Linked DNA regions of Oreochromis niloticus. The protein of the gene in region 1 binds, or shares a complex with, the protein of each later gene. Links are inferred from orthologs where the notes say so. Each region holds a gene or a part of one and is shown on either strand. Other genes may lie near its edges. The genes, in order: thoc3, thoc7, thoc2 and thoc6.

Evidence for each region.
Region 2: thoc3 (region 1) and thoc7 share a complex: the UniProt entries of both Homo sapiens proteins name them as parts of the transcription/export (TREX) complex. The link is inferred for Oreochromis niloticus from reciprocal best matches to the Homo sapiens genes THOC3 and THOC7.
Region 3: the proteins of thoc3 (region 1) and thoc2 are in contact, whole or in part, in a cryo-EM structure (PDB 7ZNL), measured with the Homo sapiens proteins. The link is inferred for Oreochromis niloticus from reciprocal best matches to the Homo sapiens genes THOC3 and THOC2. Residues at the interface, in NP_115737.1 of Homo sapiens: Asp193, Met196, Ile208, Val217, Gln218, Asn221, Ala222, Pro224, Ser225, Ala244, Asp245, Ala246, Leu247, Ser249, Trp251, Asp252, Asp254, Glu255, Leu256, Val257, Cys258, Val259, Cys261, Ser263, Leu265, Asp266, Pro268; in NP_001075019.1 of Homo sapiens: Tyr395, Arg396, Pro401, Lys402, Gly403, Ala404, Lys405, Gly406, Ser407, Pro446, Ile447, Ala450, Arg454, Cys500, Asn501, Ala502, Cys503, Met504, Glu506, Pro563, Arg566, Gln567, Lys570, His573, Tyr603, Leu604, Thr605.
Region 4: thoc3 (region 1) and thoc6 share a complex: the UniProt entries of both Homo sapiens proteins name them as parts of the transcription/export (TREX) complex. The link is inferred for Oreochromis niloticus from reciprocal best matches to the Homo sapiens genes THOC3 and THOC6.

Annotation. Positions count from the first base shown.
Region 1 is NC_031966.2:7,006,869-7,013,997, forward strand, and holds the start of thoc3 (THO complex subunit 3), read right to left. Parts: upstream 3,019-7,129; 5' UTR 2,985-3,018; coding exon 2,805-2,984; intron 2,188-2,804; coding exon 2,031-2,187; intron 713-2,030; coding exon 508-712; intron 1-507. UniProt on the Homo sapiens protein: Component of the THO subcomplex of the TREX complex which is thought to couple mRNA transcription, processing and nuclear export, and which specifically associates with spliced mRNA and not with unspliced pre-mRNA.
Region 2 is NC_031970.2:28,885,066-28,893,036, reverse strand, and holds thoc7 (THO complex subunit 7 homolog), read left to right. Parts: upstream 1-4,971; 5' UTR 4,972-5,100; coding exon 5,101-5,119; intron 5,120-5,359; coding exon 5,360-5,480; intron 5,481-5,589; coding exon 5,590-5,717; intron 5,718-5,823; coding exon 5,824-5,910; intron 5,911-7,163; coding exon 7,164-7,221; intron 7,222-7,344; coding exon 7,345-7,411; intron 7,412-7,515; coding exon 7,516-7,585; intron 7,586-7,677; coding exon 7,678-7,739; 3' UTR 7,740-7,842; downstream 7,843-7,971. UniProt on the Homo sapiens protein: Component of the THO subcomplex of the TREX complex which is thought to couple mRNA transcription, processing and nuclear export, and which specifically associates with spliced mRNA and not with unspliced pre-mRNA.
Region 3 is NC_031975.2:10,792,669-10,800,642, forward strand, and holds the start of thoc2 (THO complex subunit 2), read left to right. Parts: upstream 1-4,971; 5' UTR 4,972-5,061; coding exon 5,062-5,126; intron 5,127-7,637; coding exon 7,638-7,693; intron 7,694-7,974. Other genes in the region: stag2a (cohesin subunit SA-2a), read left to right, coding at 1-37, 120-248, 341-549, 1,008-1,248, 1,371-1,481, 1,586-1,712, 2,076-2,153, 2,502-2,525. UniProt on the Homo sapiens protein: Component of the THO subcomplex of the TREX complex which is thought to couple mRNA transcription, processing and nuclear export, and which specifically associates with spliced mRNA and not with unspliced pre-mRNA.
Region 4 is NC_031969.2:34,256,397-34,263,985, forward strand, and holds the start of thoc6 (THO complex subunit 6 homolog), read right to left. Parts: upstream 3,003-7,589; 5' UTR 2,859-3,002; coding exon 2,844-2,858; intron 2,295-2,843; coding exon 2,203-2,294; intron 2,116-2,202; coding exon 2,051-2,115; intron 1,325-2,050; coding exon 1,221-1,324; intron 1,141-1,220; coding exon 1,103-1,140; intron 1,012-1,102; coding exon 963-1,011; intron 553-962; coding exon 481-552; intron 176-480; coding exon 73-175; intron 1-72. UniProt on the Homo sapiens protein: Component of the THO subcomplex of the TREX complex which is thought to couple mRNA transcription, processing and nuclear export, and which specifically associates with spliced mRNA and not with unspliced pre-mRNA.

The DNA.
Region 1 (7,129 bases):
CTGCGAACAAACCCACCGTTTATTTCATGAGCGCAGATCGTCATTTATATATGACGGAGATAATCAGAATACTCTGACACGATTTTGACACCAGGTGCTTCAGAGGAGTCCACGTGGTTCGTGCACAGGTGAAGAGAAACGCGAGTCAATGTAAAATACCTTCAGACCTTTACTTATTATTGACTTGCAGTGTTTGCGTGTTCATTTTCAAAGAAAGAATTAGGAGCAGATAGAAAACTTCCTCTGTTTTTCTAATAATGCAAAAACACATTTTAAAGCCAAACCACCATGAAGTGGAGACCATTCCCAAAAGCTCTGGGATCAGCTCGTAGACGTTTTCTGTCCTTGATTTGAAAAAAGAAAAATCAAACTCCCTAACCTTTAGCTGTACACTTTCACTCAGCAGCTGGCTGGTGTTGGTGTGTGAGAAGTGACGGAGAACATGACGCTCAGCTTTTCGTGAATATGCATGTCAGGAATGAACGTGAGCAGAAATCTGCTCCGTACCTCAGAATATTGATGCAGCCGTTTCCGTTGGTGAGGAAGAACATGTCGTTGTCGTTGTTCCACGAGATCTCATTCACCTCAAACTTGAACTGCTCCTCTGCCTTGGAGCGGTGTGTCTTGGCATCGATGAAAGTCACCACGTCATCTTTGTTCCCCACGGCGATGGTTTGACCGTCTGGGCTCCAGCAGATGTTGATGTTCTCACCTTTAGGCAAAGATTCAGTTTTGATCACACAGTGATGAGCAAGGTTTAAAGAAGGGTCATGACTCCTGTAGGGGGGGGGTCATTTCGAATGACCGATACAAAAGTGCCCACTATCATCCCAGCAGACTTTCCTCAGACGGTGAGACTATCGTATCTTTCTCGACTCACTAAACATCTTTCCCGCTTTACTCAAGTCTATAACTCACAATGGTTTATGTCAGTGTCTTTTAAAGAGTCTCTTCACCATCTAGTCACAGTAAGCAGCACTGCAGCTAAGAGCGCAGCTAGCTCATTCAGCATTAATGCGAGCTGTGTGTTTAGAGGATAACATCAGACAAACAAGCCTTACAGAAGTTTGTATGACAATTAGGGCTGGGCCATATCATACCGTTCACGGTAATACCGGTGTAATTTTGGGCAACGATAGGAAAATAAAATATCGGCACACTTAAAATCAATCCTTTGATTTTTCTGAAAATCGGCAGTGCCCCTTATAATCCCGTGCGCCTTATGTATGAATTCTGGTTGTGTTTACTGACCTCGAAATGATTTTATGTACACGGCGCTCGAAAATCTGTCAGATGTTTTAGTATGACTTTGCTAAGCTACGAAGCCACACCACTTGATGGATTGTCGGAGCATTACGGCTATCGTAGGCAGGAGCCTCGCGGAGTGATACGTACTGTGCTTCAACATAATATTACCGTATTGTGTGTGTATAACCTCTTTTGTGGATATTCTACATGGTTATGCTGAGGATATGTCAGCCAATTTCCACTGGAAATGCCTTTTGGTTAAACTGTCAGCAAGGAATTTGCACTGTTACATTTTTATATAACTTTAATGCACATAAAAAACAGCTGCTTGTTTAAGTGAAAATACATTGATGGGGTTTTTTGCACTAATAAAGTTGTGGAGTTGTAAAGTATTTTGTCTAGTCTCAATTATATCGTCAGTTATATCGTTATCGCAAATTTTCAAATGTATATCGTGATAAATATTTTTGGTCATATCGCCCTGCTCTAAAGACAATTATTTTTAATGAGATTCGAGGGATGTTCAAATTACAGAAGCTTCCCAGGAGAAACCACCCGGGAAAAATGAATCAGCAGGTACGGACTCATGAATTCATCATCAATAATTTGATCTATATGCCTTTGCTGCTTATTCTTTCTACTATAAATTTTTGGGAGCAGCATAAATGAATGATGTCTGAAACTGTGGCAGTCTTGGGTTTCAGAATCACATTTAAATGAATTCTTAAGTTTTGCAGTAAGCTGATTTAGGAGTCTTTATGACCTCAGTCTTTATGACCTACCCTTCGTGTTGACGGTAGCGATGCATTTTGTGGTGCGTACATCCCAGATGCGGATGGTTTTGTCTCCGGACGCTGTGACGAACAGATCCGGGTTGGTGGGATGCCAGCAGAGCTGATCAACGCTGTCACTGTGACCTCTGTAGTTATTCTCTTTCACCTGCAGAAAAACATCACCTGTATCAGGCATCCATCATGTGCCACTTTACAGAGCACATCCACAAGCAGCCCAGCGAGACGATCACCTGTAAAGTTTTCTCTTAGAAATCTGACTCAGATTATCTTACACGTCACACTTTGTGGAAAGAAAAAAAAAAAGCATCCAGTTATGCATGTATATGTGAACGTTTTAATTTAAACTTGAGGGCGGTGACTTTGTTTAACTTTCTGATTTGATCATGTCTCTTTACATAAATATGAAAGTTTATAAATTTGGACATTTCAGTGATAACAATACTAATCAGTGAATATATACATAATTAAAATGAATAAAAAACTTAGTTAGTATTGCTTTGGAGCAGGCAGTTATGTGTCAGCACAGACTCATCTGTCTGCTGGGCTGCAGACGGAGCTTATAGGTTTCTGCTTAATGACGTAAATTCCTCAATAACTACAAGGCTGTTCAGTTAGTGGCAGTTATTGAGTGATAGAGATTATCCAGGGGGACCGTGTTCTTTGTGACAGTCGGCTCTCTAACGTCAAACTTTCATTCATTCACGGTAGCGAGCTAACCAGGCTAACGCTAGCATTCTAGCAACATGCCGCTATGTGACTCACCAAACGGTCCTTTTCCAGCACGAAGACGCTCGCTGTTTTATCAAAGGACCCGGAGGCCAGCCTCCTGCCATCACAGCTCCACGCCACCGAGTGAACTTTAGCCGTATGAGCGGGAAATTCGCGGCTTTTGCTGTTATTTTTAAAGCTCTCCTGCATCTCTTGGAAATACTGCGACGCCATCTTGGATTCCTACGTAACAACAGCGGCCGACTGTAGGTGGGTTTAAGGGCGCCTGCGCGCCATCTGGTGGTTCGGAGGGGACCGACACTTGTTTACTTTTCTCAGACGGTTACCTTTATAAAATATTCTCCTGTAACATAAATACATTCAGAAAACAACAGTGGAAACAAAGTGTCTGTGAAGCTATCTTATCTGTATTTTTTAATACAAGGAATAAAATATTTAAATCGTTCTAAATACCAAATGAAAAGGCCTTATTACTGCAGGATATTGCTCATAAGAATGATTAATCAGTCAAATTGGAAAGAGAAAAGTTAAAGTTATCCATTTAAAAGAATATATAAGCAATCTCAAACTGTGACGTCATTTATTTGAATTGATATGCATTTTCTAATAACTAAAAACAACGTGAAAAAAACGTGAAGCCAGGCTTCAACTTCAGATGCATAAACCTTATGAATTAATTTAAACAGGTTTCTTTGAGCTTTGGGGAAATGGGCTATTTAATAAATTTAGAATGAGCATCATCCATAATTTACAAACTGTCAGATCCTCGTTTCTGTATGGCAGTAAAACATGAAATAGTTCAGAGCTCAGTCAGTGATCTTCAGTTTAAATCCCAGAAAAGAAAAATTACTTCAGCTTCATTGTATTGTTTCTATCATTATTAATAATGTGGAATGCATAACATGACATAACCTATGCACAACACACTGAATGTTTAATAGCTGTCTGGTTTGCAGCCTATGTGCATTTAATGTGCTACAGCTGATAGTTTTATCATACAGTTTAAAGTGGGTTAAGCTATACATGAAAGTTTTTTTGTGACTATTTGTGGAAGAACTGGAAAGAAGTGGCACGATCTGCTTTTAGGTAAATTATGGAGAAATATTTAGCTTTTATTTTCTTCCTTCCTTTTGTAAATTATGCAGAAAAAATGCTTTACTATCTCCCATCTTCTAAAGAAAATACAGCAGTTCTTTGCACATAGGCCTACCTGAACACCAACAGCGTGATGGGTTTGAGTACAAAAATAAATCCATCCACTGATTGTGCAGGGAGAGATTTGTATGCCCTTTGAACTTTACCACATCTTCTGTGACATATTTCACATGTTGGTCTATGACTTTAAGATTCAGTGGCAGTAATGTTGTCACTCAAAGTAATGCTATATGTTCATATTACCACACATGTGATCTTTGACTCTGCACACATTCATCATATCTTTCAATGATGTAACCACTGCAGGTTTCCAAATTCATTGTTGAAATAAAGACAGAAACTTCTCGTTTTATTTGAATTCCAATTTATTTCAAGTGATGTTTAAAAAAAACCAACACTCCATTTATATCTCAAACACACACAATATCTAGTCACCCCATTTCTGTCAAATACGGCATATCCCTCGGTTAAGAAGCCACTTGGTTACCAACTAAGCAATCGATGCGAGGACCCAAAACCTGCACCATCTGCAGGTGGACTCCCCTGCCGTCCGGAGGCCTGTGCAAGGCCTCAATATGCATAATATTCAGGCCTGAGGCAGCTTCTGATGTTGAGTGTGTGGTCCTTTTGCACTAGAGTAAAACACACCGAATGGACGGAACAAAATGCACTTTTTAAATGTGATTCTGTGTTTTAAGAAAAGATGACAAGCAGTGAAAGCGTCACATAAATGTGCTTTACGTTTTTGCATACTTGTAAAAAATTGTTTTAATGTTGCGTCACGTGCCAGGAAAACTATGTAAAGACAGCAAGCCCTACAAAATAAAAGTCAACTGTTGTGGTGAGGAACGAGGACGGTGTTTCAGGACACGTGCACACAGGTCTCTGGACTCGGTGCAGATTCAGTGGAGGAAGACATCTTGTCTCTGGTGGACTATGACACGATCTCATGAGTTTTCACGATACAGACTAAAACTCAGGACGTTGAGGTTTAGATGCAGGTGTATGGAGAGGTAGAAAAAGTACACAAGCACCCTAAGTCCTCCAAAGCACTTCTATTCTTAGCTCATTTAACCAGAAAAAAAAAACGGTCTCCGTCTTTCCTCATCGTTTTCTCACTGAGGCCCCTAAAGTGGGTTTGATGAAGGTCTGACCCATGGACCCTGAGAACATTTCTGTGACACGTATGGTTAAAAAGCTTGTGTCGTGTTCCTCTAAACCTGAAATATCAGTCACATGTCACTTCTGTGTTTCCCTCCTACTCACCTTGCATGACTTATGACGACATGCTGAAACCTGGACTGAAAGTTGTGTGAAGGCAGGAAGCGTTTGATTTTTTTTAAACCCTGTCTATAAAAATGATTCCCAGGTGTTTTCATCAGCCCGAGCTCATACTCAGGTAAACGCCTGGACAGGTGGAGCTGCAGTCAGCTGAAAGCAGCACGACAAAACTAAACTGTTCATTTACTTCATCTGGAACTTTCTGAAACATCCACAGCTTTCATCATTGACTAGATCACGTCTGAAAAGAAGCTTTGACTTTAACATCCCCACATTACCAAAAAACTGCAATCATCCGCCTGTTGGTACATTTGGTATTGCTTGGTTTGCCGGAGAACACAGCAGAATCTGTGGTGCATGCCTCAAAAGCAACCCATGACAAAGTGTTTTGTTTGTTTGAAAGCAGCAGAAGAAGAGTGTTTCTCCTCTATTTGCAACTGCAGGTCATAAACAGAGAAAAACCATTTATGCTCACGCCGCTGAGGATGCCAGCTGCACAGTTCTATCTTGACCAGGAGAAAAATGACAGGAGGTGGAGGCAAGGCAGGAGAAGCCAGAGAACTGGGTTCTATAACAGTACAGCGCATTCCTGCTGATGACACAAAGTGACGCTGAGCAGAATCTTTGTGCATCAAATAGAAAAAAATCAACCTAAAGCTTTGCAGTCTTTATACAAGTCAAAGTGTCTGAAGAAAACTGAGGATCTGTGCAAAAATACTGCAGCTTCCCTCGTACAGTGCAGCCCATCCTTCCTCCTGGATCCACAGGTTTATGTTCAAAAATCATCAGAGAAGCGAGCGGCCGATAAAAGCCGTTGTAGAAAAGCCAACAGCTGTTCTTTTGGCTCCTTTGAGACTTTTTGGTGTTTTTAGAAACAGCTACAAAAATCCGAGTGTCAGTTTTATTGAATGTGAGCGCGTTAGCCTCATGCGGTACGTATGGAGCAGCAGATACAGCAGCTGGAGTTTCTACAATGGCTGATCACCTCCACTTATCTGAGCCCTGCTTTTTTTAAAAAGTCACCAGTGCATTAGCTCTTACTGCTCTGTTACCTGTGCATCTTCATCCGAGCGAGTTGTTAGTCGGTTAGTGTAAATCCAAAAAAACATAAATACAAAAGTACAACAAAGTCAACGTTTCCATTTTTGATCTGACACAGTAAACAAAAGGCAAACACTCTGCAAATCATCTGATCTCATCACTCTTATGTCAATTAACACACAAACCGAAGATACTCAGAGTCCATCCTAGCACTCTGCGTCTGCGCTGCCGTTGATTGAGCCGGCAGAGAGGGCGGCGTCTGCATCATCACCGGGCACTGCATGGTCGACTCCGTTTGACTTGATTTGATCCTCCTCGACACTGTGGAGCAGAGACAGCGAGCGACACGTCAGAGACCCAGAACAGCCGAGGCGCAGCAATCGCTGTAAATTGTGGAGACCAGGTCAGCATCAACCTTGTGCTGGAACCTGGACTCTAAAACTGCAGCTAACTACATAGCCTCCTTCTTGACCGCATGACTTCTAATATTCTTCTCTGTGTTTGTGTTACACATGCAAAGGTTTTTAGATTAGATACATTAAAGCATAAAGGAAATAACAAGAGAAGATTTATTTCTCTATTAAACTGGAATTCCCTCCATCTTTGGAAAGCTGCTGCTGCACTTCCAGGGATACTGATGGTGTCTCCACCTGGATTAGAAAGTATAAGGACGGGATGGAGGGCATGCTTGTGACGAGTGTTGCTCCACCTGTTGATGCAGCCATTGCTGACTGGAGACTCGGCTGTTTCTTTCTCAGACAGAGAGCTGCAGGACCTCCTCTCCCTGCCCGTGTCCGAGCTCTTCCTCCGGGCTACGACCGGCCCCGGGCCCGACCCCCGTCTCTCCGGGCTAAGCCTGGGCCCTGCTGGGTCAGATGGGG
Region 2 (7,971 bases), on another chromosome or scaffold:
ATTAGGCTGTACCACACACCTGCCAATCAAAGTGACCATGCATTATGAAAGAGGCTTACCTGTCTATGAGGCATAAACTGTTTATTTGTACCAGGCTATAAAGATGTCTTACCGTCATTTACTTGCACATTTTAACATAACAGCCTGTAAAGATTGACTTGCTTTTGGGGCCAGTCTCAAATGGCCAGTTATTTATCTAGCACTTCCATGTTGGATTCATTTTCTAGCCCAAAATTTGCCACTTGGTCAAACACAGCAGGAGCGTGTAATCATCTCAGATGATTTAATCCAGTGATTCTAATCAAAATCTATTGTGAGTTCAAAGAACAGAACAAAGCAGATTAGCGGACGCTGGATCAGCCTGCTGATGTTGAATCTTTTAAGCAACATACAGAGAACAGATGCTGTAAAAATGAAGACCTCTGTAACACTAAGCAGTCCAACATAGAAGTCTTGAAATTACACAATTTGTGTAATTTCCTTGATACTTACCGAGGGGCAGCTGCACTGCTCGTCTTTTTTTAAATTCAAACAATTCATACACATATAGTAGTAAAAAAAAAAAAAAATCTTAAAACCCAATACAACAAGTAGTATAAAGCATATCCTCAGATGCAACTCAGTGATGCTGTAGTCTCATTAAGCAACACTTCCTTGATACTGAATACTTTACAATAGAAACTGTATTCAGTGTTGGGCCGTTGTGATGGAAGTACTACATGGCTAGGTATGATTATTCTGCAGCTGAGGAAACGTAAAAAAACCACCACATGTCAATAGAGTTTTGAAATGAACAGCAGCAAGATCTTACCTTGGCAAAACAAGAAACAAGGAATTTATCTTTAAACTCAATCAGATGATCCACATCAGTTTGGGTGATTCCTGGCTGGCACACACACACTGGATAGGAAATCTGGAGACATACACAGACATGCATTGAGGGAAGATGTAACTATACCACACCTTTTCCTTTCTAAAGTTAGTAGGTGGAATTTTTGAATTATGTGTAAAAAACACTTTCATTCCTGCCCCCTTAGTGATCAACTTAGTCAACATAAAGCAACACATACATCTACAGGAATCCATTTTAAAGACATGTAGACATTTTTATTGTTTTTGTTGTCTTCATACATTTAAGGCATATTGCTGTTTATTCAGTAGTGTACTGTACCATATGGATTCCACCAACTTTACATTTGTTAATCGAATGTTGTTTTGCTTGTTTTGATGCAGCCCTTTAAAACTTACAACCTAAATACTGTCAGAACTAAACCACACTTCTTAAGTTTAAGTTATCTAATGTCAAAGATTTGTTATAATGAGGACAGAATCAAAATAAATTCACTGCAGGGAGACCTGAATTCCAGGATTTACTGGTGCTACAGGTTTAAAAAAAATTGTGTACTGCTAATATACACAACAACTTTTAGCAAAAGCAGAAAGAAAAATAAGAATCTTACTGCTGCAAAAGTGGCAGTCCAAAACTATTTTCACACATCAAGTCTGGAAAATGTTCAGAGAGTCAGGTCGGGAGACTGTCCAGTGTTTTCTCTTCTCACATCTAGCTCACAGCAGAAGATTATTAATTGTTAATAGTTAGTGTGGTTTAGGTGAACAAGCTGCCTGGCTGGAAGGTTGAGGACACAGGACACAGTCACTCAGTGTAAATTCACCACAGTACTATCTGCGCTATTCTCACATTCGACAACACGTAATACATATAGACTATCTATCTACATGTATAGACATCTAAAAGTCAATACTTTCCTGTTAACTTTCAATAAGTTAGAGTGGGAAACAATTACAGAGTATTATGTAAACGCTGGCATATGGGTGGACTGTGGAACATGCTATTTAACCTTTCGACAGCAACAAAAATTCTGACTTGTGACAATGCAGAAGGGAAAAGTTTCAGCAGAACTAAAATATTAGTATTACATTTGATTCTGTATCCATGTGCTGTCAAACAATACTAACAGACAATTCTCACATCTCTTTTTTATAAATGCCAACACTGATAAAGTGGCAAAGAGCTAGTGCCACCATTATATCCGCTGGCCTCTACAGTGTCACAGTATTAATACGGGCTTATAACATGTTTATCATTATATCCGAAAAATTGCCTAGAATACACTAATATATCATCTGAACATCAGTAATACTGACTTCTGACCAGCATGTAAGATTATGTTTACGATGGCAGCAGCCGATGTCATCTGTTGTGTTATCTGCTTAATTTATTTATTTTATTTTTTTGTTTTTATCTTTCTCAACTGGGTGGCTAAATAACAAAAGCTACATAAAAACATGAAAAATAAAATGACATTCAGACAGAAAAGATATGATCCAATTATCACAATGATTGGAATGGGGAACTGGTTATGCTGGATTTCCACCTTTATATAGATTCACTGAAAAGGCCTATACCGGTTAGGAACAATGTTAATAACATTCTTACGGAATATAAACATACCAGTACCCGTAGCTTAGCCTTAGTTCGGTTGTGGTTTTGACTTTACGAAATGAGTACGTTAAAGGCCATGAGTGGAAGAACATACCATTATGTCATTTCTTTAGAAAAACAGTTGTTGTCATTGGCAGACAGGTGCAACTCTGACACATAGATAAGAGAGAACACAGGAACCAGAATTTGTATTGGCTAGAATTGCTGCCACTTCTACTCGACACTAATTACACTATCGTAGTTATTTTTTTGAATAAAAAAAGACAACATTAACCTTCACCGGAAATACGGTATTTGAAAACAGACCAAATGTCTATTAGCCGTTGTGTCATGACAGTAAGCTTAATCCAGTGTGGGTCTGTGACTGGTACAAACGTTACTAAACAGCACTGATGGCTAACGTTAGCCTGCTAGCTGGCTAACGTTAGCCAGCCATGACTAGCGCCAGCGAGGAAGCTGACAGCAGCCTGACAGCCCAGCAGAAGTCATTAGCCGCGGTCACATATCGACAACAGCTTCACACTTACCAAGGCTCTGGATCCTGTAGACGTAAGTCTGACACCTGGCTGATATATATCAACTGGATGCACAGAGTGAAGGAGACAGAAGACGGTGGAAAAGAGCGAGTTTAGTGCTCAGCCTCTGTGGAGGTCTTCACTTGGTGCTTCCATGTCTGTTTACCAGACTGCATTCTGGGACAGAGAAAAACGTCACCGCGCCACGACGCAAGCGCGAACTGACCAATGACTGCATGGCACCGCCGAACTTCTCCACCAGGAGATTTTATTTATTTATTTATTTAAATTTATTTATTTATTATTTTATTTTATTCCCCTGTTAAATACAGTATTTACAACTGCATGAAGCCTGGGAGATATGTGATAAGGGAAAACATGATAATTAACATCTGCAATTTTAAAAAATTAATAAATAAAAAAATACTACAACATGTTCACCAAACATGTGTTTAATTCGATTTAGACGATTTAAATCGATTACCTAATAATTACGGGCAAAAACAGAGATAACTATTATATGGGAATGAAAGAATCCTGAACTAAAATCTATGAGAGAAGCAATGGTGGTGGAAGTGTAACTGCTTGTGGGGGGAAAAAAAAGTTTTAAAACCTAGTTTTGATGCAAAGTCAGCACACTCTTAAAGGAGTTTTTTATTACAAGGTTTGATTGATGATTCTATTTGCAGTTTTCATATCAGCGAATGCTTCAAACTGCCTGCCCAAATAAGAGTCCCTAAGAATTTGAACATGGTTGCAGGGTGTCAAAACGTGCAGTGTCCTTAAAAAAAGTAGAGAGAACTGGACAAGAGACATGTTCTGCAGAAACAGGAAAAAATGCAAAGACCTGACACAAGACGAGATATGCCAAATTACACAAGAACTGAATTGAAAAAAGCAGTGGCATGGATATCCTGGAGTCATGAACCCAAAGTTGACATTTTTGGTTCAAATCATCACTATGTAAGGAGGAGGCCAGGAGAGAGTTAAAACAGCGAGTGCCTACAGCCATCAGTAAAACACATTGGAGAATGTTATGGTTTGGGGCTGCATTTCAGCCTGTGGTGTTAAGAATCTTGTTAAAACTGAGGGAAATATGAATACATAAAAGTACCGTCAAATTTTGATTCACCATGCACCACCATATGGAAAGGGTCTGATTGGCAAACAACTTTTTTTTTCGGTATGACATTGACCCCAAACACACTTTCAGTGCAGTAAAAGTATACCTGGATAGAAAAACACAAAATGGAACACCATCATGTCATAGACTGGCCTCCCCAGAGTCCATACCTCAACATTATTGATGCAGTGTGATATCATTTGGACAGAGAACAGAAAGAAAGGAAGCCAACATCCAAAGAAGAGCTCTGAAGAAGCCTGGAGAACTATTCCTGAGGACTGCTTAAAGAAATTCAGAGGAAACCTTACCTTAGAGAGTTCAGGCTATCTTGAAGAATAAAGGCAATCATACACTGACAGACAAGTCAACTGCAATTGTAAAATTGGAATTGAAGTTATATAAATTCAGTGTTTGCCTTATATACTATATTTCCATGGATGTTTGCACACATTTCAATAAACCACTGAAGCTATTTCCCATTTCTCTAACACAATATAAAGAAATGAGGGGTGGTTTAGTAGTTTCGCACAGTATTGTATGCAAGCCAGTTAAGAAAAATAGCTCACACTTATATCACTTTGCAGAATTTATTACAAAACGGATAAGAAAGCTATACGTCTGTGTGAAAAAAAAATCAGTTTAGTGCGATGGTTCATGACACAAATTCAGACACTCTATAAATGTCATCAGTCATCATGTCATCACCAAAACATGGTTTTAACAATATACTTCCGTGTTTTTCTGCTCTTCCCAAAGTAAAAACACTCATCATATAAAGTTTTATCAAAAAGAAACGCTCTGCATTTTTTTTTTCCAACTAAAGGTTTCACTTGTCTCATAAAATATCCAATGGCAATCTATTTTTGTCCACTCCAGTCCGATTGGTGGCGGTAATTCTTCAAACTAGCTTGCCAACCCAGGACTAAACCACAGAAGAAGAGCAGGAGACTGTCCACTTCCTGCTGTTCAATAAAGTTTTGCAAAGCCGAACCATAAACATGGGGGCTGTTACAGATGGTAAGTAACCGTTCTCTTCATTTATATTAGCTATTCATACCACCTATGAGTAGTAACAATTATCAGAACCTTTAGAAATACCACTATACCCAGTCACATACCCATACCCGTAAAAAACGAACCAGTTTTACATGGAGACGTGGGTTATTTTGGATACAGCTAACATCAAGTAGCCTTGTTAGCCGATGTATTCTCTTTACCTGCTGTACCTGAATGGCTGTTATTTCGCCCGTATTCCAGATGAAGTTATACGGAAACGCCTTCTCATTGACGGTGATGGAGCCGGAGATGACCGCCGAATCAATTTGCTCCTGAAGAGTTTCACGAAATGGTGCAACTCTCCCGGGACCCCGGAGGAAGGGTAAGCGAGCTCTACATACCCTATCAGTGGACTCGGTTGCCACGCATTTCTTTAAAATCGCCAAGAAGAATTTGGTCTGAGTCATAAAAAGTGCTGTAATTCTGTTCAGATTCACACAGTATCAGAGGATGCTGGGCATTCTGGCGCAGTGTGAATTTTCCATGGGGAAGACGTTGATGGTTTACGACATGAATCTTCGGGAAATGGAGAATTATGAGAAAATCTACTCCAACATCGGTAGGACTGGGTTTTGTGAGACTGTCCATTTATCTTCGCAACTGTTTACGAGTCACATTTTGTATTACCTGCTTTTCCAACTCGTTAATTTTTCCCCATACTACAGAACAAAACATTGCATCTGCACATGAGAAGATAGCAGAATGCAAAAAAGAAATTCAGAGGGCAAAGAGGATACGAAAGAATCGCCAAGGTAAGAAAGCTATTCAGTTAGCTGTCCTATTGACAAAAGACTCACGTTTTGTTATGTACTCTTTCTACATGATATATCTCCAGCTGTTGTCAATTCTCACCTGTAAATTCTAAAGATCTTGACATCAGTTAAAGCCTTACACCTATTTACTTGACCCTAACCCCACCAAAATATTCAAATGTGTATTTCACTGTTTCCCTTAAATGTGCTGTAATCACACTGCTACTCAAGAGAAAAAAACCTGGCTCCATTGATCATTAATAATTCTAGCCTTAATTGTAATCTTTCATTCTTCAGCAAAGTATTTGGAAAAAAAAGTTTACAAACAACTGAATGAATACCTTTCAAATCATAGTTTTTATAAGTACCAATCAAGGTTGAGAACCAGGCAACGGCACAGAAACAGCTCTTACTAAAGTCATCAGTGACTCGAGGATCAATAATGATTCCCTGAAAGTTTTTAAGTTTGAGTTTTTCTTGATCTCACTGCTGCTTTCAACACTGTTGAGCATGACATTCTAATTCATAGGCTTCAGGACAAAGTTGGTTTAACAGGTCAGGCTCTTGATTGGCTCTCATCATGGCAAAAGGGTAGAAGTTTTATGTTTCAGTTAGTAGTTTTAGATCTGCACAAATACAAATTCAATCAGAGGTTCCTCAAGAGTCTATCCTTGGTCCATTACTATTTAACTTTTACATGCTCCCACTTGGTGCTGACTTAAAGAACCATAAAGCTTTTTAGAACTGAACAGAGCCTAAACCAAAACACTTTTTGTTGGTCCCAAAAGTCCGGGACAAAAAAATTGTTTTCTATTTACCATCCATTTCTCTGAAACACCGTGAGCAAATCAGGGACCTTGGCATCATCTTGTATGGCGGTTTCAGTTTTGATAACCACATGAGTGAGGTTACCAGAACTTCTTTCTATCACTTAAAAATATATCAAAGGTTAGAAAATTCTTATCTCAAAATGACTCATGTGTTTGATCCATGTGTTCATGTCAAGTTTGTCAGATTATTGCAATCATCAGGATGTCTTTAGATGATTCAAAATGCTGCAGCTACTGTCCTTATTGGTACGTGGAAATTTGACCACTTTACCCCAGTAATGAAGGAACTTCATCGGCTCCCATTACAATATAAAATTACCTTAAAATTCTTCTGTTACTTCACAAAACTCTGTTTTGCCCACCAGTACATTATGCATATTAGATGTAACTTGTCCAACTTCACTCTTTCCTTACTTTTTCCAGAGTATGATGCTCTAGCTAAGGTTATCCAGCAGCACCCAGACCGACATGAAACACTAAAGTAAGTCAGTCCTTGCCTTCTGTTTAGTCAGATTTTTACATTAAATTAAATGCATCCAATTTGTGTGCTTTCAGCTTTTGTGATGATCTGGCTATGAGCTCAGTTTTACTTTGTTCTTTGCAGGCAGCTTGAGGCGCTTGATAAAGAACTCCAACAGCTGTCTCACATTAAGGAGAATGTGGATGCCAAGGTAAAACCAAAATATCTCTTAAACGCTTTAGTTTTAACTTTGAATATTTTTTAGTCAGCAGTAAAAATTCCTGCTTGTTAAAATCTTGCTTTTGTTCCACTCAGTTGGAGTTGCGGAAGAAGCAGTTCCATGTGCTGCTCAGTACCATACAGGAGCTTCAGCAGACCCTTGAGAGTGAGTGCTTTTTAGTCTCAGTAGCTGTTAAAGTGTGCATCTTAGCACATTTGGTGTCACCTCGCCTCGCTGATCAATTTTCTGTTTTCTAGACGATGAGAAATCAGACAATGACGACAACAGTCAGGAGAGCCCTGCAGAGAACGGAGAGTGAATATGTGGAGATCCTGAATTTAAAACAAAACTTGATTTTAATTGATTTTGTTGTCTCTGATACTTTTTTAAAATGTATTTTGAATAAAGCTGACTTGTCCACACCTGCTTTGTTTAATTTATTCACCAAATTTTAGATTCATATTTACATTGTTGATTTATATTTATGTAAAACAGAACTGTTTACTTCAACTTAAATAATAATTTAAAATTTTTGGATTATAACTATTTGT
Region 3 (7,974 bases), on another chromosome or scaffold:
AGCTGAAGACAAGAGAGGCTATTGCCATGTTACATAAGTAAGTCATTTCCCTAACCCAAACATCATTTGCTCTAATGAACAGGAACTTTCATATGTCATGTCTTGTTTGTTTATTTTAGAGACGGGATTGAGTTTGCCTTTAAAGAGCCAAGTCCCCAAGGAGAAGGAAGTCCACCGCTTAATTTAGCATTTTTGGATATCCTGAGTGAGTTCTCTAGCAAACTAATTCGACAGGACAAGAGGACAGTGTAAGTTTGCAGCATGATGAGTAATGTGAGCATGAAAATGATGAGAACTTCTAAAAAGACTCTAATGTTTACTGTCATTTCACTTTTTGCAGTCACATGTACTTGGAGCGATTCATGACATTTCAGATGGCCCTGCAGAGAGAAGACTGCTGGCTGCCTCTCATCTCATACAGAAATTCCCTGCAGGCTGGAGCAGACGATGACACTATGTCTGTAATTAGTGGGATCAGCAGTCGAGGGTCCACCGTCAGGAGTAAGAAATCCAAGCCAGCCACTGCCAGCAAAAGAAAATTGCCTGAAGGTGAGCATTTCTGGTGTTCTTTGGTGAACCATTTATTTCATCTACCACAACAACTGATCTGCAGCATGAGTTCATCTACATCAAAACAGCTGCTGGTTAGTAGAGTTGCATTTAAGGTGACAACATTTTCTTTGGATTCCATGACTGACACAGCAGTTTGTTTGCTGTATTTCTTAAAGTCTCCCTGAGATTGAAGTAAGGTTTTTCTGTGAGCGAATACGCCGTCGTGAATTTGAATACGGTGCAGTATTCACCTTCAAACGTCACTCGTAAACATAAAAATGCGTCTCTCTCTTAGGGACATGTATTTCTCCTAGGATCCTCTTGCAAAATGTTTCATGTTAATTCTCATCACAGCCTGCCACTTTAATAATAAATCAAACAGCTCACTCATTGTTATGGCCACTGCGTGTGTTCAGTAAAATTCAAGGAGTGTAACAAATGATTTTCTCTGGCAGAAGAGAACAGCAGTAGCAGCAGCGATGCGGTTTGGATGAACCGTGAGCAGAATGTGCAAACGCCAGTGATGATGCATTCACCCCATCTAACTTCCACTGTACTGAGGGATCCAAAGAAAATGAGGCCAGAGGACAGCTTCACAGCCACGTTCACCATGCCAGCAGAGCAGCATCCCCATCAGCCTGTGCCCCCTCAGCAGCAGCAGCCACACCCTCAACACCAGACTACCATTGATTACAAGTAAAAAATATATGTATTACATTATTGCATACATGTCCGCAGAGGTTTTAGTTGCAGTACAGTATGTAAAGCCACTTTTTTAAAACTGTGGGAATTATGAAGTAATGAACCCTGTTCCACAGTACCCAGGTTACTTGGATGCTGACACAAAGGCAACAAGCTGAAGCCCGTCAGCAGCAAGAGCGGGTTAGCATGCACTACGCCAAGATGAGGAACCACATGCAGCAAGCAATGTAAGAAGTTCAACACTTAACTGTTTTTGGCCGAACTTTGAGCCAATAAAGAGTCTGACAAAAAGCAGTCTACTGACGTGTTATGTTTTTGTTACTCGTCACAGTCGTCGAGGCTCTGGGCTCATGGAGGATGATGAGGAGCCAATAGTGGAGGATGTGATGATGTCATCTGAAGACCGCTTGGAAGATATCAATGAGGGCATGGATTTTGACACAATGGACATCGATTTGGTAATTAAAAAAAACCAAAAACAATAGTCTAAATTTGTCTAGATGCATGTTTAATCATTCCAGTAAGGAAATCCTAGGAAGTTGATTCAGCTGATTTGGATGTGGCATTTTCAGCAGGAGATGAGTAATGAAACATTTCTCCCACTGAAAATGCAGCATCCAGATGAACTGAACCAAATTTCCGAGATAATCTGAATCATGTGTTAGCAGAGTAAGCATCCTTCAGTAGTCTGGTCATGCCAGTCCTTCCAATAAATAAATAATAAAAACAAATGTTGATGTTAAAATTTATAATTTTTTTAACTGTATATTTTTTTTTTTCATCTTGTGGAGTATTCTTCTAACTGAGCTGTTACCTTTCAGCCGGCATCAAAGAATCGCAGAGAAAGAACCGAACTGAAGCCAGATTACTTTGATCCATCTTCCATCATGGATGATTCGGTAGGAGTATTTCACTCCTTATAATAACTTTTTCACTGTGTTTTGGATGGCACTGGTTACAGTCCTTGAGATAAGTTCATGTTCTTGAAACGATTTTTCTTAACTGTTTGAGTGAATGCCCAAGTAAGCATGATAGATCAACGTACAGTTCACACATGCCTAGCCTTATTTGGTAGGAGTCCATTTTCTTGTTATTTATGACCATTTGATTAAAGAAACCCAAAGGATGAACCGCTTTAGGTGTAAAAACAGCCACATATTTCTCATCTGTTCATCCTGTACACTTAATATATGCTTGTTTTTATTTGGTTCTGAATTTTTAACACTGCTTTTTTCTTTTGCCTTTAGGTTCTCAATGTTTCAATGTTTTAATATGAAAAGGACAGCATGTCATCGAAATCCTGGGACGGTGAAATGACTCTTTATAAATGAGAGTGGACTGGACTAAGTAGGCTTGTGAGACACCAATGTTTGCCTCTTTAACACTTTGTTAAAACTTAGGAGTGCTTGAGCTTGGATTTGAATTTTATTCTGCTATTTTCACACACCGGATTTTGGTCACACTGCGGCAGAGATGTTTCAGTTTTTGTTCAGTTGCCCTAAAAAAACTTGATGCCAGCTATCACTTGGCTACACTTGTTATAATGTGTGAAGCGTTACAGGTACGGATATTGTGTGGCAGTTTGCATGGTGATGGGACAATAACAGGCCAAAATTCAATTGAATGATGTATACCTTTAAACTCTTTAAGTAGACGAAAAATGTCTGTAAATACATAGCGGCCAATATACAGGGAGGGTGAACACAATTTCATGAACACCAGAAAATATAATAGGCTTGCAGAATAACACTACTGTTTTGATGCTTGTAGTGTTCAGTTATTGTTGAACACTATAATGACCCTGCACTTTGTTACAGAGGTGGTAATTGAGCTGGATGGTTATTTTTAAGCTTTGCATCGAGAAACTATCTTAGGTGTAAACGAACCCCCTCTCTGATGCAATCTGAACATACACTGAACATATAATGTTTCATAATGGCAGCAGTTATTAAATGGCTACTGCGTTATATTGGAAGGGTGTCAGTGGTATTGTTGTTCACCTTCTGAACTTTTAAACTGTAGATTCTGGCATGGCATGTAGCCATATATCGAAACATGTACACAGTAAAGTATAATGTGAACTGGCGTGTCATACTGTTTAAAGGCCTTGCCACAAGTTATATATATACAGCATTCTCAGATTTCTTTGTGATGGTATTTTTTAGAGACATGTGTTCTGCTTTTATACCTTCTAGATAACTTTGATTTATAGATATTTTGTAATGACAATCAAATGTAAATTAATGGTTTCTATTAATCATGTTATTTCACATAGAGATTAAAATGATCCTTTTTAAAGGAAATGATTATGTTACTATAGATGTGGCCAGCTGTATTTTCTTTTCGTCTCTCTGTAGCGAACGGGTACAAACGTACCTCATTGCTCAGATGTAGTAATTTGACAAATTGAGGCTGCATCTAAAATTATTTTTTAATGTTGGAAGAAATCACAATGTTGTAAAATTTTGACTCGACCTCAAATATGTAATCTCTCCTATATATTAACTATTTTTTTCCACTGTATAGTATCTAGTAATATCTAATATTAGAGACATGCCATGATTGCAATCTTTAAAAGAAAGGATTTTTAAAATGGTTGAGAACGATGTGTGTTTGTTTGGTTTTGTTTTGTTTTTCCTATTTGCAGGTGTTCAGAAATAGTTTTTCAAACTGCCAGTTTGGTTGGTTTGCCACTGCTGCGTGTATAAGAGTTATAGAAATATTCTAAATTACAAAGCTTCTAAATTCTTTAGCCAACAATCATAGTATCAGAATTGTATATTATACAGTTACAAATGTGTAATATATTGTGAATCGGTGCTCATTTTATATTTACTGTTTCTTTTTGTGTGAAATTTTGGGGAATTGTCAAAGGAAAAGAATGTAAGTCTTTGACATTAATCTACTAATTTGTAAGTGCACACACAGTGCATTGTTTTTTTCTTTGTTTTACCGTGGATTGTTCCGGTATTTCCTCTGTGTATTGGCCTGGCTGGCAGAATCAGACTTTATGGAAGAAGGTGTAATCATATTGTAGCTGAAAATGAATACCTTATTTCCTCAGAGTGTCACTATAATCTGGAGAATCAAATCATCTGGTCTTAAACATTACCACATACATAATAACTATTCATGTTAGGCAAATGAGAAAAACACCTCTTAGACTTGCCTGTAAATTTACATGACTCATGTCATTTTGGAGCTTTTCTGTTTTGCATCAAACTGCTGAAAATGTGCAAACATCTGTACGTTTATACATATTTAAATATTTGCATATATTAAATTTGTGTTTATATTCTATTTACAAAGTGCCCATTGCATCCTTTACTGTTTGTATTTATGTCTGGAGATGTAACATGAACAGAATAAACCCTCTACAACTGTGTGATGATTTAATAACACAGCAATAAATATGATTTGATATGGTATTAGAACACCTGTACTGTAACTATAACTGGCTTTTACTGATGAAACATGAGTGCACCGGAGGATTATGGAAATCGCAGCTGTCCTGTAGTTTGTTATGTTTAGGTAGTTCTTAGAGAAAATGTTACCGGTAGATTTAAATTGGGTTGTTCAAGTGTCACGGGATTTTATTTAACTAAAAAAGTTAAATAGTACAACGTGGAGAATCAAACTTATTCCCAGACTACACGACCATCACCACCACTCCGTGTGAAAACCTCGGACGCACAGCTGTCGATGTCCCACAATGCAACAGTGATCTAGCAGCGGCGGCTAACCACCACATTTGACCCTGTGTGTGCCATGATGATAAACTAGACATCCGGGCTGTGTGCATGGAAGATGGCGACACTTACCCTTCCTGGTGAATGGATCAAAAACTGGGAAAAATCAGGAAAACATGAGTTGTGAGTGCATCTGAATTTCAACGCAGTGTTGAATTTTGCATTTGTTTACCCGTTGTTTGCGAATAAAAAGTATCAAGAATGACGTAGCTAGCATTCAAATATAAGGCCGGTCTTTAGGTGTGTTAGCTTTAGCTAAGCAGCTAAAAGATAAAGTGGCTTACAAGTGTCACTTACTTAAAAAACAATACGTGTAATTTAGTTGCTGAGTATTGAATATAGTTAATTTGGTAGACTTGTGAAAAGAAGACTTCAATGGCTTTGAACGTCACCGTGGAAGCTAATGCTGTCTGCTAGCAGTCAGGCTAGCTTTACGCTCCCATTTGATTCGCCGTCAATGTGTAAACACTATGGCTGTTAACGCTAAGCGAGCTAGCATACACATAGCATACTCTTCTGTTGGTTCGATATCGCACTATCCAGTAAACTGGCGTAAATGTACTTCCAAAGTTCAAGGAATTAGCAGCCATCAACTTCGAGCAGACAACCGAGAATCAGCTGGCGAGAAAACCCCTTGGGCAGCCTGTTATAAACCTTAACACTAAATAATCGTGTGGAGGGAAAACAACGGACATTGACAAAACGCTTTAGCAGATTAGCCGTAACGTTAGCTACACTAATTGTTGTGTTGAATTCCTTTTCGTATGCTTTAATGTTTAGGCGGGGAAGCCTGGAAGAATAAAGATGACGCTTTTTGATTCAGTGTAACAAAACGTATCATTTGACGATATATTTTTTTAGGAGATGAAGATTTTAATCATAATGTTAACCTAGCTACAGCTAACGTCATACTTTTCTTAGCTGGCGTTAATTTCACCTAGATAATGGTGTAAGATAGCCGCTGTACGGTTTGCATAGAGACTGTGGACATAGCCAAGGTTATTCATCGATGCACATCTGTGCGCTTGGTGCTGTATAAAGGCATCTCGATTACCAGAGTCAACTTTATCACTAACATTACATGTCAAACTTAATAATTTAAGCAGTACTGTAAAAGCCTCTCCCAACACCTTGATGTACGGCGACTGTTATCTTAAAATTAGTTTCTTTAGAACAAAAAATACAAGAAAAACGTTGCGTGAATGATAATTTCACGCATTAATTTTGTGCGCTGCCATCGCCTTTGAGCTGAGACACAATAGGCTCATCCACAGTACTAGCTACGATTATGTGCTGTAGGCCTTACATATTTAAGAAAGGCCTGCAGTGGGATGCACCAACTCAAACTCTCGTTCCACTATCTTGTGTCAATAACTGATAGCACTTTAACTGGAAATTATGCCAAACAGTTGCAACTACGGGGTAACCATTAAAGTATTTCCATCAAGGCAAATTACCCGTTATACCAAAGCTGAGTACATTGCAGTGGAAGTGTTATTTGGCAGCACAGTGAGATGCCATCCTCTGTGATGACAGGCAGTAAATGAAAAGGTGGATTTCGTGTTGATACTAAAAGTATCACATTGTTATTACTTAACCAATATTTTTGACCTTATAATTCATTGATATAAAACATTGTGGACCTCTGGATCTACATCTTTTTTTTTTTTTAATATCATTTAGTCATACCAGTTGAGTTGCAATTAACCAGTCCCAGAGGCCAGGGTTTAGTTTAAAGTGGTGAAAATGTTGTCAGCCTCATTATACAAATAGCAGCTTTGCTTCGTTTGACCTTAGAGGCTCCGGCAATCCAAGGTGTCCGCTTGCTGTAACTCTGACTTTTTGTAGCATTTGCACTTCTTGTTCACAGTGTGTTTAGCACCTGACAAGCTGTTATCTCTAACAATTAAGCTGATGGACTGCGTTGAGTTTCTTACAGAGGAAAGGAGCTAGTGTGCTCCAGTGTGTGTAATTATACCTTTTAATGAATGGGATGTGCATGGCAGAACGTGCTCGATTAGTCTGCCTTTGTCATCACTACTTCTGATATTTTAATACCAGTCAAGCTGTCAACTGGGTGAACCGTAAGTCTTTCAATCCACCAGCTAAGCTATTGGACTAGTCACAGTCAGTTTAAGAGGGAGAAACATGGCACTCAGTAAATACTAACTATAAATCTGTGTGAGTGTTTGGCAACAGAAAAGGTAAGGGTTGTCCCGCCCAAAGATTCAGTCAGTAATCAATCCAGCAAACATAAGAGCCAGTGCTATTGTTATATGCACACACAGCAGTTTCAGCATAAATACTCGTGTAGTGACAATGTAGGTAATATAATATTTCTTGAGTTACTACATTGATAATTAGGATAAACCTAAAGCTTTATCCGGTGTAATGTTAAGACTGGATTAAGGCGTAAATAATGCAATAGTGTTATGTGATCTAAAAATATAACTTGGAGGAAGTGAACGGGATATTACAAGAATAATGTTATGTAGAAATTGTTGGCACGGAACAAATGGATTTAAATAAGTTTTCATGCATCCTGGTTCGTTCATTGAGCTTTATAAGGCTTTTCATCATCATGTTTTTGTACTCTAGTTTAATTTAAAAAAGAATTCTCTCTTTACTTCATAGTGTACAACTCTGCAAAGACCTTACAGAGAAAGCAGATCATGGAAGTGAAATTAAAGGTGAGTTGAGTGTGACCCTCGTTCCTTTAATAATATTCTTGTATGCATCTGTCACTGTATTTTAGCTTGCTCTTCATGCACACACGTCCATTTTGGGAATTCTCATAGTTTCCAAAAAGAATGCAAAAGGTTTAAAATTATTTACCAAAAATAGATTTAAAAAATAAAATCCATGAATTTCAGAAGTGCTGTCTAATTTTTGAAACACGGTACTATTCATGTTTAACAATGGCTGTAAGGTAGAAGGGAATTAAGCAGCCCATGTGGAGATTTCTGTTTGG
Region 4 (7,589 bases), on another chromosome or scaffold:
ACCATCATCCTCACCATCACCATCCTCATCCTCACCATCCTCCTCACAGTCCCATGTTTCCTGTGAACTCACCCCACACCCTCACTGCTCCGTCCTCTCCCCCCGACAGGATCTCCGCCTCCCTCTCTCTTACAGTCACGCAGTGGACGTAGTCCGAGTGACCCTGAAGGACGGTCTGAAGACACAACACAAACCCGTCACCATGGAAACACAGAACTCCCCCAACAGATGCTGCCATGAAAATCAGATTGAACAGGTGTGAAACAGTTCAGTGCACACACGGACGTCCAAGTAAAAAAACTGCAGTTCCTCTGACGTCCAGCAGAGGCTCCAGCAGTGAATCGGTCCCCACAAACTCACACGTTAACAGCAGAAGTCATCATTCACACACACACACGGATGACAGTGACATGCTGTAAGGAGAAAAATACCTCAGCGGTTATAACATGAAACGTGGAGTCAGTTTTGTTCCCCACTCACCTTGAACACACCGTTTTCCAGGTCCATGACATGGATGTTGTTATCGCCTCCTCCAACCACCAGGCTGTTATCCTGACACAGAAACACAACTCCTTATGACACATTGGAGCGACACGTCCGACAGAAACACAAATATCCTCATTATCATCAGAAAAAAGGCCCAAAAATGGAACTAGCCCCCCAGTGCATGCTCCATCCCTTCTAAAAACACCAAATTAAATAACATTCAAACTTAAAAAAGAGTAAAGAGTAAAAAGAAGTGTTTAAAAAGTCAGAATAATAAAAGGACTTCAATAAAAAATACAAAAACAAACAAAGGGGTTTAGTAAACCAGCGGCTCTGACGATGACGATGAGGAGGATACTCTTCATACTGTCACAGGTTTGTGTTTTATTTCAGGTTCCAGTCTTTTCTGTTCGTAAAGGTGGGCCAGCTTTAATGCGATGAAGAAAAGCAGAGGAGAGAGGTGGAGGTGTACTCACTCTGGAGTTGATGGTCATGGAGTTGATCTCTGGGATCTCCAGGCTGGATCTGTAAGGAGACAGCAGATGTTTGAGTGAGGAAGGAGACAGGAGGCAGACGGGAAGCAGACAGGAGGCAGGGGTGGAAGGCTGGTTCTCACTTGTAGTTCGGTCTTCGGGTCCACAGAGGTTTGACGTTCTGAGGAAGCAGAAACACAAAAATCAGGCAAACTCGTTTTTCCTCTCCGTCTGTGTGTCCCTGAAGGCGTTCTAGGTTACCTTCTTGGTGAGCTCGCTCCAGCTCCAGGCGCTGATCTCTCCATTTCCCGCGCTCAGCAGGTGGCAGTCAGTGGACAGAAGGGAAAAGACCGGCCCCTCATGAGCTGCAGGACAACAAGACCAAAAAGGAATCTGTGAGGACAGTGTGTCCAAAATCAACACGGACACAATGAACGGCCACTAAAGTCCCAATGAAACCATAACTCCCCACAAAGCTGCAATAAAAATCACAATAAAATGAGCCTCAAAAATATTGACTCACAAACACACCTGGAACTCCACCTGGTGGTGTAAACAGGAACTACAGCATTATTTTTTACAGTGTGTCATATTTTTACTGTTGGTGAGCTGCGTCGAGCTTAGACTCAGAGGTTTCTCTTTCTACCTGTCTAAATCACCATGGTAACTGATGCTGAAGCCCTCACCTGGTCAGACGCAGGCTTAATCCTGAGTTTTGGTTTAAAATCAGCTGGAACCTTCACGTTTTCACTGATTCTTTATTTCTAGTGTCTTCAGCATGACGCAGATGTTTGTCACCAAAAGGACTGAACGACGCTTCAGCGCCTCACAGGAGCGTCCAGTGTGACAGGATGTTTAGCGCTCATGTGCAGGAAACAGATAAATGTTTGGTTCTATCACAGAAACAAAAGGCTGGAAAGGTGAGTGTGTTTCATGTGAGTGAGCTCAGACTTCCTCGGTTCTAATCACGTTGTTGTTTTTTCTGCCACTGTTCGAGTGCAGGTGTAAACACCAACAGGTACGCCTGTGATGTCCTCGCCATCCTGCAGAGGCTTCGTGGGTTTAGGGTGACCTTTGACCCGAACACTCACCTGTGAAGGTCAGAACGGGTTTCTGGTTGAGCGCGGTGGAGTCTGGACTCAGAGCTGCAGACAAACTGGAAAAAACAGCATTGAGAAATGAGAGGTGTGGCCCTTCAGTGCGAGTGAGCGCAGGCGAGTCGAACCAGGTGCGTTTGACTCACCTGAACACTGCGATCTCGCCGTAGTTGTTTCCAGCTGCCAGGAAGCGACCGCAGGGAGAGAAACTCTGAGAGAACACGGACATGTGCAGCAGCTGCAGACACAGACAGGTGCGTTAGTCCAAGCACCACAACACAGGTGAACAACCACACCTGTGCAGGGACATCTGGGTAACTTAAAGTTACCACGTGGTGCAGGACATGCAGTCATGTGACGTCACCTTTATTCGCCTGAGTGTAAACATTCCAATCAGCTTTAAATAAGCAGTTTGTGAATAAACGTGCATGTATCTATAAACAGATGACTCGCAGCAAAGGTTGTTACTAATACTGATCACTTCCGGTCAGTAAATCTATCGCACATCACATTCACCTCAACTTTTTAAAAAGCGACTAAAATTTAAATTCTTAAATTTAAATTCTTAAATTTTAGTTAAAGACTCGAATTTAAGTTCAGTGGAATTTTAAACGGAGTTCGTTTTGAGTCCGTTTTCCGGTAAAACAGAGAAAACCTGAAACTAATCTGAGCTCGTTCACTTCTTTGTTGATTTTTCTATCGTTCAGCACGAAGCTCGCTTTACTCTCAAACATCAGCCGGTTTCTCTATTTCCTGTTTCCGCTGAGATAAACGTTGTAAGCCTCACCTCCACGGGACCCATGCTGCTCACACAAACTCTCCGAGCTCCTTTAAGGCGAACACGGCACAAAACACCGAAACAGAAGCAAAGGAACCAAAACTCAAACAGAGGAGGGAAAGAGCGGACCAGGGCGAAGGAATGTGACGTCACCAACACTAGCCCCGAGGATTCTGGGAGATGTATTTTAGAAGCGACAAGCCTCTTCTCCTCAGCGGCTTGTCCTCCTCTGCACATCCTCCTTCACTGCATCCACGAACCTTCACTGAGCTCTTCCTCTTCTCTTCCTGTCATCAGCTTCATCATCATCGTTCTCCCTCCTCTGCACACGTACAGACCGTCTCAGCCTCCCTCCTCCCTCCTGCAGATCACAGAGACGCCTGCCTGGTCTCATCAGCCATCCCGTCGATCAGCATTGCAAACAAGCAGCGGGTCAGAGCAGATCCCTGATCTACTCTCACCTCCACCTTCAACCACCTCACCGCTGTCCTCATACGTGTGCTGCACCACCCTCACATACTTCTTCATGGTTCCTCGTGCAGTACCGTCAATCATCTGCTTCCTCTGATCCACAAACACACAGAAGCTCCTTCTCATCTAAAATTCTCCATCAGCACTAACATCACAGCTCTTCCTCAGCATGAAGCCACACTGCTGCTCGACAATCATCACCTAGCTTCAACATCTCTGTTGCACATGTTGGTGGTGTGGCTCACCAGTGTCATCCTCTCTCCTAGACGTCTCCACACCTGCACAGGTACACTGTACTGCCAAAAGTATTCACTCGCCAAATCATTGAATTCAGGTGTCCCAGTCACCTCCATGACCACAGGTGTTTAAAGTCAGCAGCTAGGCATGCAGAAAGAATGTGTGAAAGCATGGCTCGCTCTCAGGAGCTCAGGGAACTCCATCGTGGCGCTATCATAGGATGCCACCTGTGCAACAGGTCCAGCTGTGGAATTTCCTCACAACTTAACATTCCACAGTCAGCTGTTAGTGGAATTATAACAAAGTGGAAACAACTGGGAACACCAACAGCTCAGCCATGAAGTGGTCAACCGTGGTGCGAGGATGCGAGGCGCAGAGTGCACAGGGGTCGCTGACTCTCTGCAGAGTCAGTCACTACAGACCTCCAAACGTCATGTGGCCTTCAGATGAGCTTAACATCTGAATGCAGTGGTGTAAACCACGCCACTACTGGACTCTAGAACAATGGCGGCGTGTTCCCCGGACTGACCAATCATGCTTCTCCATCTGGCGATCTGATGGACGAGTCTGGGTTTGGCGGTTGCCAGGACAACGGTACTTGTCTGACTGCGCTGTGTAAAGTTTGGTGGAGGGGGGTTATGGTGTGGGGTGTTCTTCAGCAGTCTTCGTGCTTCAGCAGACCGAGACACTGTGGACACCTTCATGTTCCCAGTATGTGGGAACAGTGTGGGGATGGCTCCTTCCTGTTCCCACATGACTGCACACCAGTGCACGAAGAAAAGTCCATAAAGACATGGACGAGCCGGTTTGGTGTGGGAGAACCAGACTGGGCTGCACAGAGTCCTGACCTCAGCCTGATCCAACACCTTTGGGACCAATCAGAGCGGAGGCTGTGAGCCAGGCCTTCTCCTCCAACATCACTGTGACCTCACACATGTGCTTCTGGAAGAACGATCAACACTTCCCATAAACACTCCTGAACCTGTGGAAATCCTTCCAGGAGACGCACAGCTGCACACAGACATATTCACTGGAGTTCATGGCAGAACGATGGATCTCATCCGGACCAGTCTCTTTCCACTCTCCACCCTCGTCTTAGCTGCTCTCAGAGTTATCATAGTTTTATACTCTCAAATGATTTTGTATTTTTATTTCATTTTGAGTTTTTAATTCACTTTAGTTTCCAGAGCACATTTTCTTGTGTCGGTTCAGTTCGGTTCACAGCACAAAAAATCATCAGCTGCCCCCTGCCCTCCTTGTCTGCTGTCTACAACTCCTGTTGTCTCAGCAGGGCCAGAAACATCTCAAAGGACACTACCCATCCGGCTACCATCTTTTCAACCTACTGCCGTCTGGCAGGCGCTTCAGATCCATTCAGGCCAGGACAAACAGACTCAGGGGCAGCCATCAGCATACTCAACTCAAACTTGCACAAAAGTGATCTGCACTGAAATATCATCAATTCTCTGCCTGTCTGTCTCTGTCATCTAGTACTGTACTGTGTATTTATATTTATATTAAGTGTATAGTTAAATTATTGTATAGTTTTTATAATGTGCTAAAGCACTTGTGCACTTTTATAGCACTGTTTCTAATCTCATTATACTATGTATAATGACAATAAAGGCTTTCAGTGGCTCTGACCTCACATGTCATGAAGACGCTGGAGAGACTCGTCCTAAAACATCTGCGGCTGCTGGTGGAGCCTTGGCTGGACCCCCTGCAGTTTGCTTATCAACCTCGTATCGGTGTGGAGGATGCCATCATCTACCTGCTGGACCAGGCTTATTCTCATCTGGACATTGTTGGGAGCACTGTGAGGGTCATGTTCTTTGACTTCTCCAGTGCTTTTAACACGATCAGACCATCACTGCTGGGGAATAAGCTCACGGAAATGCAGGTGGACGCCCCACTGGTAGGTTGGATTACGGACTATTTAACAAGTCGACCACAGCATGTCCGACTGAAGAGCTGCCGCTCAGATAACATCCTGAGCAGCACAGGGGCGCCACAGGGGACGGTCCTATCACCCTTCCTTTTCACCCTCTACACATCTGACTTCAGGTACAAGTCTCAGTCATGCCATCTGCAGAAATTCTCAGATGACTCTGCCATTGTGGGCTGTATCAGGGATGGACAGGAGGAGGAGTACAGGAGTGTGGTGGACAGCTTTGTCGAGTGGTGTGAGCTAAACCACCTACAACTTAATATCACAAAGACAAAGGAACTGATTATGGACTTTAGGAAGCAGGCTCCTCCTCCTACCCCTGTCACCATCAGAGGGGCTGACGTGGAGATCGTTGAGGACTACCGGTACCTGGGGGTACACTTGGACTGTAAACTGGACTGGACCAAGAACACCAATGCTATCTACAAAAAAGGGCAGAGTCGGCTTTTCCTACTGAGGCGGCTCAGGTCCTTCAATGTTGGTAGGAAAATCCTGACCATGTTCTATCACTCGGTGTTGGAGAGCGTTGTGTTCTTTGCAGCTGTGTGCTGGGGAAGTGGGGTGAAGACAGCTGATGCCAACAGGCTGAACAAACCGATTAGAAAGGCCGGTTCTGTCCTGGGTGTCAGACTTGAGAACCTGGAGGAGGTGTCTGAGAGGAGAATGCTAAAAAAGCTTCTTTCTATCATGGACAACCCCTCCCACCCCATGCACGCCCCCATGATGGACCATCGGAGCAAACGCGGCAAAAGACTCATTGCCCCGAAATGCAGAACTGACCGCCACAGGAAATCCTTTGTACCGGTGGCAATAAGACTGTTTAACTCTTCCTCACTCTGTAGGTGATTCTCCTGAGACTATTACCTATGTTATTCTGTTCCCTCCCAGACCGTGCAATATTACCCAAGAGTACTTATTGAATATTTGTTTTCATCCCCCCATCATACGCTGCTACTCCCTTCATTCTATTGCACAATACTTTGTCACTTTCTAGAATCGCCTGCACTGATAGTTTAGTTATTTATTCACCAGGATATAGTTATGTATATTACTTTGTTAGAGTTATCCGATTATTTGTCTTGCACTATCCTACTGTATATTACTGTACACTATTCTTATTGTATATATATTGTATATCTTATATCTATTTCATCTGTGCCTCGGTCTCTCCTGCTGCTTTGAGCATGTACATGACAAAAGAATTTCCCTCGGGATAAATAAAGTTGTTCTTATTCTTATTCAATTCAATTCAAGTTTTTCTTAGTTTTGGTCTTTCTAAGTATTATTATTGGCATGAGTCAGTGCAGGTATTAAAATAAAACAGGATTTTTTTAATTTTTTTTTTTTACCAAACTTACAAACACATTTCTTCTCTATTATTGTTTTATTTTGTTTTATTTTGTTTTGCAAGTTTACAAAATAATTCAATTTTTACTTGAGTTGATTAAAATGATTTTTCACACTTGGCTTCAGTTAGCTGTGATAACCTCGGCTGACCTCACTTCCTCCATCCTGCTCTCTTGCTTCATTCATCAGCTCCACACAGAGCTCCTTCCATCTTTCCGTCTCTATCTTCACCTTACCACAGGTGCTCGTTAACCTGACCATCTCATCTTTACGATGTGCATGTTTGCTCTGACATCAGATGGACTTCCTGATAAAACCCTCCTAGTTTATCTGAACCAGGACTACACTGGCTTGTGGTCCCCGTGTGGCTGGGAGACATTGTGATATTTTGAAAAATAATAAATATAAGACAACAAAAGGGAGATAAACAGTGTTCAATCTTCATAATGTGGGAAATTTTGTACAAAAAAGGGAAAAAGTGCCGATAAAATGTTGTTTCAGTTTAAAACATTTTGGTATTTGCCACCATCTCACCAGTGCAGCTGAATCATGTCGATTAGATCTGATTAGACTTTTATTGTGAAGTATTACTTGATGGGATTTTTGGGATTACTTTATCTTCTTTTATTTTGGTATAAGTTTGTTTTTTCTGACAGTCAGCTGACTGATGAATGGACCAGCTGAGGATTGCCTTTCTCTTTTACACAGCTGACTCACATCAGTAATTAAGGGGATTTAAGCCCAGGGACAGG